Cricetulus griseus: one gene and its partner. The protein of the gene in region 1 interacts with the protein of each later gene in a biochemical or structural test. Links are inferred from orthologs where the notes say so. Each region holds a gene or a part of one and is shown on either strand. Other genes may lie near its edges.

Region 1 (4,231 bases):
CAAATACCTTACTCAGTTTAGGCTTTCAGTCAGCTCTTGGGTAAGGACTTAAGAAGAGACATACTAGGGCTTAGTTTTTTGTTTTGTTTTCCTGTGCTGGAGACAGGAGGTCAGGGCCTACCATTGTCTAGACAAGAGCTTACCAGTGAGCTAAGACCTAACTTTAGGAAGGCATTTGAATTCAAATGGGCAAGACTCAAGAATGTACAGAGTAGGAATTCTTTGTCCATGGATCCAACACTTTTAAACTCAAAAGTGCAATGCTCCCAGAATGAATGCAAACGGAAAGAAGTCTTAGGTAGGAGCAATGGTAAATGTGTAAATGCATCGTCACTCACTTTTTTTTTTTTTCAGTCTCACATTTACTCCAGGCTAGCCTCCAGGAATTGGTAACAATTCCTGATCCTCTGGCTTCAGCCTCCCAAGCGCAGACACGTAGCCAGCCGTTTCTTTCTTTCAACCCCCATTCTTTCAACTTCACCAGGGTTCTCTTGGGGCACTCTTAACTTCCCTTTTCTCCTAACCTCACCCCACAATTCTTTCAACTTTGTTGTCCAGGCCATTGACATTTGCTTCAAGGTCAGTTAAAAACCAGTCAAGGTGAATACTTTAAAGACATAAACAAAAAGCTCTTATGCAGCTGGGTGTGGTGGCACACTCCTTTACTACCGAGTTAGAAACCAGCATGGTCTACCTGAGTTCCAACCTGTCTCAAAAACAGACAGACAACCCCCCCCCCCCAAATTGTTATTTGTGAGCACCATTAGCTTGGAACAACGGTTTACCCATAACCCATACTTGGATTATCCCACCATAGCTACTCTGGGGATGGCACTGAGGCTGCTTCCTGTGTTCTCAGCCACCTTGGGAAGAGCACTGCGAAATCTTCCCGAATGCCTCGGTGAGTCCGTCACCTCTCTTTTCCCCGCCACTTCCTCAGCCAAGGCCTTCCTGCAAGTCCGGGAAGAACGCGGCAGTTACGACCGCGCTCCTACGAGCCTCGGTAGCGGCCAGCGTCCCCGAGTAGGGAAAAGGGAGAGGGGGTGGGGCCGGGAAACGCGGGCCGGCGAGACTCAGCAGGGACAGGCCACCACCGGAAGCGCGTGGGGGGCGCTCGGGCGGAAGGCCGAGAGCGCGTGGTGGGCTGGGGCGCCGCGAGGGGCGGGGCCTGCGCGCGCGCCGGGGGCGGGGCCCTCCCGCGCAAGGTCACGTGGACGGGCCCGGTGGCGGTGGCGGTTCGGCGCGCGGCGCGCGGCCGCGCGTCTAGAGCGGCGCCCCAGTGCAGGATGTTGCAGGAGGCGGGCGGCGGTGTCGTTGGCGCAGCGGGTGGAGGAGCGGCGACGGCTGAGGCGCCCGCGGGCGGGAATAAAATGGCGGATTTCGAGGAGTTGAGGGTGAGCGTCGCGGGGGGGGGGGGGAGCGGAGGCCGCTGGCGGGGGAGAGGGGAGGCGGGAGCAGCGCGGGCGGCGCCGGGGCGTGCGACCCGGTTGGCGGAGCCGCATCCTCGGCGCCTGCGCGCGGGGAGGGACGGAGCGGGCGAGGGCGGGGCGAGGGCGGGCGAGGGCGGGCGAGGGCGGGCGGTTGGCCCGGGGTGGTGGGCCGCACACCTGGAGGGCCGGGGCCCCCGAGGGCCGGTGGGCTGACTCGGCGGCGGCGACCCCGGACTCTCGTGGCCGCCGTTCGCTGGGTGAAGACTGCCTCCGGCGACGTTAAGTTGCGTTTGGGAATTTTCCTCTCCCCGCTGTGGTCTAGGCAGGTCTGTCAGGAGATCAGGCCCCTTCCTCCCACCAGTGCTTCCTCAGCGTGGGGAGAAGCGCGCCCTTTTGGGAACACCGCCTTCCGTAGTCGGCCTCATATCCAGATACTTGGTTTGTAACCATGGTAAGAGATCTTCAAAGTCCGTGTTGTCATGTAGTTTGTGCACCCCTTTAGCTCTTGAGGAAAAACTGTTTCTTAGCACGAGAGCAAGGTCATAACTTTATTGTAGTCGGGGTCTAAAAGAGAGGTGGTTACACCGAAAAAGATTCTTTTCCTCCACCAGATTCACAGAAGTCTTATCCCTAACCAAACCAGGTGTGATAAATGAGTCGAGTTGAACCCCGAATTACTGACGACGAATGTGGGATGGTTACAGACAGAAACCCTGATTTTTAATTGTGTTTTAAAGTAGAGACGTATAAGTCTGGATTTGAAGTTAAATGAATTGCAATCAGCTGTTTGAACTGGTAAAACTGTTCTGCTTTGTAAGACCATTATTGTGTGGGAAAAGGATGTTGTGTGGTTGGACACCAACAAAAGAATGAATTTCACAGTACCCTCTTGTTTCTGAAATGAGTGATTTTCACAGTAAAAAGTATATCATACATGTTGTATCCCATATCAGTTTATACAGAGAACCATGATTGTAAAGCATATTTGAACCTTCTTACTTGTCCTGTGTTTAGTGGTGCTCCTGACGCAACTGTGCCTCACTATAGGAAACTGAACACTGGAGTTTTTTTCCCCTGCAATATTACCATAACTTTTGTAGAGTAACATGTATATTTCCTCTTCCAGGGAAAGTAGTCTTTGTTTTCTTAAGTTTGGTTGGTGGAAACCTCACTAGGGTTTCTTGTATTAGACTTCTTGTTGTTGTTTTCCGTTTTTTGTTTGTGTTTTTCAAGACAACATTGCTCTGTGTAGCTTTGGAGTCTGTCCTGGAACTCTCTCTGTAGACCAGGCTGGCTTCGAACTCATAGAGGTCCGCTTGCTGGGATTAAAGGCCCGGCTGTATTAGACTTTTAGAAGTGTCACTGGTTAAAGTGAAGAGCTAAACTAACCTTAATCATATAGGGTGGAAAAGGGCATTAGTACTCAGATGGACCTTGAAAGCAGTGGAAACCAAAGTATCCCTTTTTGCTTTTCTCCATTTTGTTTTCTGGATAAGCTTCACCTGAGACACAGTGGTGTTTGCATCTTCTTGTGCTTGGTACAAGGTAATGTCCTTGGCTCATCTGAGGCAGTAGATGACCACAGGAGACTTGGCCTATGAAGGTTTTTGGAGGACAGGAAAGAAGGTTGCAGGCTGAGAGGTGTTGTGTGATATTTTGTTTCTGTTCTGACAAAGCTTGCCTGGAGGTCAGAGGGTGGAGTTAGCCACTAATTAACCATAGAGGTCTGGAGGTCTGTACAAACAGGAGACAGAAAGTGATAAGGCTGGACATAGGTGGGATCTCAGCCCTTTTGGTTTGAGGACTGGGTGAGGTAAGAAGTGTGGGTGGCTGTTCTTTGTATCTCTGATCTTTCCACATTTACCAAGATATCTGACTCCAGGTTTTTATTGATAAGACTATTTAGGACCATGATTCAGAGTAGATGCTGGAAGATTATCCACTATCTTTTGCCTTAGCTGCTTAGGGCAGACACATGTTATCCTACTTCTCAGTGCAAAAAGTGATGATGATGGCACATACTCATTTTAATATGTCCCTATACACACCAAATTCTGGTTCAAATATTTCATATATATATTGTTATTCTTGTAATTCTGTGAGGAAAATGAAACATAGATTGTAGTCATGATGATTATAATACTGTGGCTTGCTTAAGAAGCTTTCACGTGCTGGGGAAATTATTTGGTTCCCTAGATGCTCACTTATAACATCTTTGTTATAATTGAAGGGATGGCCAACTAGTTTGTGAATTAACTAGCTAGATGTAAATTAACTTGTTATAAGATTGTATTAGTTTCTATTGTTCTAGTTCTGTGAAGAACCACCATGACCAAGGCAGCTCTTAGAAAACATTTAATTAGGGCTTGCTTTCAGTTTGAAAGGGTTAGTCCCTTATCATCATTGTGGAAAGCAGACAGGCATAGGCTAGAGCAGTAACTAAAACAGTGGTTCTTAACCTTCCTAATACTGTGACCCTTTTAATATAGTTCCTCATGTTGTGGTAACATCCAATCATAAAATTATTTTTATTGCTACTTTATAACTGTAATTTTCCTACTGTTATGGTTTGTAAATATCTATGTTTCTGATGGTCTTAGGCCACTCCTGTGAAAAGGTCATTCGTACCCCAGTTTGAGAACCGCTGAGCTAAGAGCTGTGTATCTTGATCTGCAGTCAACAGGAAGTGAGAGAGACCTCAAAGCCCACCCCAGCCACATACTTCCTCTGACAAAGCCTTGCCTCCCAATCCTTCTAAGCAGTCTCATTCAAAACCACCATAAGCGGGGCCTTTAATCCCA
Region 2 (4,240 bases), on another chromosome or scaffold:
CCCTGACTGCTCTACCAGCATGTTGCTCAAGCTCCCAGTTAGTGCTCCCTGACTGTTCTACCAGCATGCCGCTCAAGCTCCCAGTTAGTGCCCCTGACTGGTCAACCAGCATGCTGCTCAAGCTCCCAGTCAGTGCTCCCTGACTGCTCTACTAGCATGCTGCTCAAGCTCCTGTGAGTGCTCCCTGACTGGTCAACCAGCATGCTGTTCAAGCTCCTGTGAGTGCTCCCTGTTTTACCAGCATGCTGCTCAAGCTCCCAGTTTGTGCCCCTGACTGGTCAACCAGCATGCTGCTCAAGCTCCCAGTTTGTGCTCCCTGACTGGTCAACCAGCATGCTGCTCAACCTCCTGCGAGTGCTCCCAGCTTCACTTGTCCTGCGGTAATTACCAAGTTGGCTCCTTGGACATGTTATTAAACCTCGAGGTATCTTAGTGTTCTCCTGTGTAAAATGGGCTTTTAGTGTCTACAGCAGCATCCCAGAAAACGAGCAAATGGAAGACCAAAATGGAGGCCTCTTGTGCCACTATCGTCCACCCCAGTGGTCTGGTGGTTACTTTGGGACTATGTGAGGAGGGAGAAGGGTAGACACAGAGAATCCAGGGGAAGGGACAGGTACTTCCTGGAGCCATCTTGGGAATGCCCTTCTGGAGGCTGATCCACCCACCTGGAAAGTCAGGCGGGAAAAGATGAACCAGGGGTATGTGCTGGCTCTCTGGGCCAACAGAGGCCATCCTCCGTGTCCTCAAAGGATGCCTTTTCCAGACATGAGCTCCCCTGTGACATTCAAACTCAAGGCCACAGACTTGTCCCAGGAGTATGTGTGTGGTCCTTAAAGCATGCCTGGTAACCTCTTGTTGGTCTTCCTGAAGGGGGGGGGTGGCCCGATGGCCCTGATTTTCTTCCCCGTCCCTTCCCCAAAGGCAGCCTGCGGACAGAAAAAGTGGCCAAACGCGGATGGCAAAGTGGTTGCTTGAAGACACCTGGGTCGGTTGGGCCAAAGCATTCTCCGGCTGCTGTCTCAGCACACAGGCGCCCCCGGTCCTCCCCGTCCTCCCAGTGCCCGCGCCCTTGGCGGGCCCCTTGGCAGTCTTGTCCCCACATCCGGGGTCTCCGTGCCCAGGACCTTGGGCCGCGCGTCCCCGGGGCTCTGCGCGCGCCCAGGTGCCTGACCCGCCCCGTGACGCATTTGCAACCGTCCGGGATCGCGGCCGGCCCAGCGCGCGCCCGAGGCGCGGGGCACGCGCCTCGTGCACGCGCGCCACCACGTGACTCCGCGCGGCCAACCGGCGCGCCGGGATTTGGGGATAAAGCGCGGCCCCGCGACAGTTGCGGCGGGAGAGCGGCGGGGCAGAGAGCGTGACTCGCCCGCTCCAGTGCCACCGGTTCTCCTTGCGCTTCCCGCCGCCGCCGCCGTCGCGCAACCATGTCGGAAGAGAAGCCCAAGGTAAGCCTGGGACGCAAGGCGCTGCAGAGTCCGCAGGACGCAGGCCGGGCCGCGCGCAGACCGGGGCCCGCGGGCCCGCGCTCCGGCCTCCGCGCCCCTCCCCCGCCACGGCCGCGCGCGCCCCTCCCCCACCGGCGTCGCACCCCGCCCGAGCTTCGCCCCGGCCCGCCCCTCCCCTTGGCCCCGCCCCCGGTCTGCCTCCCGCCACGCCAGGGCTCCGCCCCCGGTGTAGCTCCGCCCCCCGATGTAGTTACGCCCCGAGTCTAGCCACGCCCCGCGGCCCGAGAACCCGGAACTTGGACGTCCCGCGGGGTGCTGGCTCTCGGTTATCCAGTCTTCCTCTCAGTCCTCCCTCCTCGACGTGGCCATCCCTCTTGTGCCGTGTGCAGAGGCCCACGCGTGAGGCCCCCGTGGGCGCTCCGAGAGCTGCAGCGGTGCAGGAGCCAAGCTGGCCGCTCCGAGCTTCTCACTGTTGGCCGGGTCCGGTGCTCTCCCACCCCCCCATTGCGGTCCCCCTTACTTAGTCTCGGCAGTTAGTGCGTGGGAAGACCCGCATGGCCCAATCTCAATTAAAAGTTTTTCCACCCTCGACCTGTCCTGCTGGGAGCCTGGCATTCTGTGTTCACCGCCCTGGGCCCAGAGATGACCGCTCTCTTGGTTCGGATGAGAGACCCCAGGAGCAGGGCAAACCTCTGGAATGCTATGGTACCCCGCTGTGAATTCACCAGTTGATCCCAGCATCATCTTGGCTGCAGGGCTCTGACTTTTAATTCCAACTCAGCCTTGGGTGCTGCCTACACCAACAGGGACAACAGGGACGTTGAATGAGAGCACCTGTTTGTACTGGACTAAGAGTAAACACTTTGTTTTGTAGTTGGTTTCCTCTTTATGAGGTTAGGCAGGAAGTGAGTGCCGGGTGTGGTACTGGAAAGACCACACCTGCCGTTCTAGGTTAGTGGAGGCAGGGGTTTATACTTTTATTTATATTTTGCAGCACTGGTGATCCAACCCAGGAGCTTTTGTACACTAGGCAGGTGCTCTGCCAGTGAGCTATCCCCCCACCCCCTTTTTAAAGGCAAGGTCTCTATGTAGATCAGGCTAGCCTTGAACTCACAGATCCTCTGGCCTCTGCTTTCTGAGTGCTGTGATTAATGGAGTGTGCCACCACACCTGGCCAGCCTTTGTTTTGTTTTGAGACAGGGTCTCCCTGTGTCACGCTAGCTGGTCTTTACCTATACCCAGGAGTGCTGGGGTTACAGGTATTCGAAGTCATCGTGCTAAGCCTCATTTTTCTTTCTTTCTTTCTTTTTTTTTTTTTTGTTTGTTTGTTTTTTCGAGACAGGGTTTCTCTGTGTAGCTTTGGAGCCTATCCTGGCACTCGCTCTGGAGATCAGGCTGGCCTCGAACTCACAGAGATCCGCCTACCTCTGCCTTCCCAGTACTGGGATTAAAGGCGTGGGCCACCAATGCCTGGCAAGCCTCATTTTTCTTAACCTCTGAGTTTGCTTGCTAATCAGAGAACTACTGGACTGTGCCAGCTATCCTGCTGTTAGAGGGGAGCGTGCCTTGGGCCCTTTCACCTCTGCTGGCATTTCTGTTTAGGCCCTGGTTCCTGTGTCTGATTTGAACACAGCATTTTTTTTTTTTTTTTCCTGATAGAAGTCAGTGCATCTTGGGGGCCTGGAGTTGTTCACTTTTTCTCACAGTGGAGCCCACAGTTTGGAGCAGTAGCCAAGCTCTCTGAGAAGTGCTACTGTGTCACTGGTGTCCTGTGACTGAATGCTGGGAATTCTCTCACAGGAGGGAATGGAAGGAGGGTGCTCAGGTGTTTGTTCTCTCAGGTCCCTGCAGGACCCTCTCACCTGGGAACTGTTTCTCAGGCTAGAAAAAGCTCTTAGCCAAGGCTTTTAGGATCCAGCACAGGGCAGGCTCCTTTCCAGACACTGTTCTACCCAAGGCCTTTTGTACCAAGCTCAGAGCAGGTTGCTTCCTGATGCTGTTCTGCCCCTTTCTCCAGGAATAAAAAAGTGGCAGAGGCCATCCAAGGGAAGCAGGGAGTTACTCAGTTAAGCTGTGGGAAAAAACTGGTGTGAGGACAGGGAGAAAATGCGGTCTGCAGATGGACCAAGGGATCTATGTCCTTAAAAAGTAAACGGTTCCCAAGGCTGGAGAGATGGCTCAGGGGTTAGAAGCACTGGCTGCTCTTTGAGAGGACACAGTTCAGTTCCCAGCACCCAGGTGACTGCTAACAAGCATCTGTTAACTGCAGTCCTAGAGCATCTGACGCCCTCTTCTGGCCTCCATGGGCACTGCCTGCGTGTGATACACAAAATAGTCAGACACATTCAAAAATAATAAAGGTTAAAAAGCTCCTATGGGCTTTTGATATACTGTGTGAGTCACTCATGCCCTGAACAACAAAAGTAGTTCCTTCCCAGATCGAACAGCCCCAAAGTTGGCTCTGTTCAAAGTGTGTTTCCAGCAACTGACAAGTACTGACTTCGCCTTTGTCCAGCTCTCGTGTGTACCACGATGTATAAAAACTAGTGCTGTTCAATAGGGACCCAGGGCCTGTGCAGGCTGAGCATACTCATTCCTTGGAGCCACACCCAGCCACAGAAGAGCACAGTCTAAGACCAGAGGGTCCAGGGAACTACAGTTTTCACCCTGCTGACTCCAGCGGATCCCTCAGAGTCCCCCAGTGTTCCTCTGGTTCTCCACTCTTGGTTTTATGTGGCTTTTCTTACCAGTCTTATAAAACCATGCAAATGTGTTTACCAGTCTCATAAGTCTTG

The links.
Region 2: the proteins of Pias2 (region 1) and Sumo3 form a complex in vitro, tested with the Homo sapiens proteins (2 studies listed by BioGRID, with this or other methods). The link is inferred for Cricetulus griseus from reciprocal best matches to the Homo sapiens genes PIAS2 and SUMO3.

What each region holds. Positions count from the first base shown.
Region 1 is NC_048595.1:162,885,472-162,889,702, reverse strand, and holds the start of Pias2 (E3 SUMO-protein ligase PIAS2), read left to right. Parts: upstream 1-1,233; 5' UTR 1,234-1,286; coding exon 1,287-1,394; intron 1,395-1,752; exon of another isoform or gene 1,753-1,878; coding exon of another isoform or gene 1,879-1,881; intron 1,882-4,231. UniProt on the Homo sapiens protein: Functions as an E3-type small ubiquitin-like modifier (SUMO) ligase, stabilizing the interaction between UBE2I and the substrate, and as a SUMO-tethering factor.
Region 2 is NW_023276806.1:261,206,259-261,210,498, reverse strand, and holds the start of Sumo3 (small ubiquitin-related modifier 3), read left to right. Parts: upstream 1-1,290; 5' UTR 1,291-1,424; coding exon 1,425-1,445; intron 1,446-4,240. UniProt on the Homo sapiens protein: Ubiquitin-like protein which can be covalently attached to target lysines either as a monomer or as a lysine-linked polymer. Does not seem to be involved in protein degradation and may function as an antagonist of ubiquitin in the degradation process.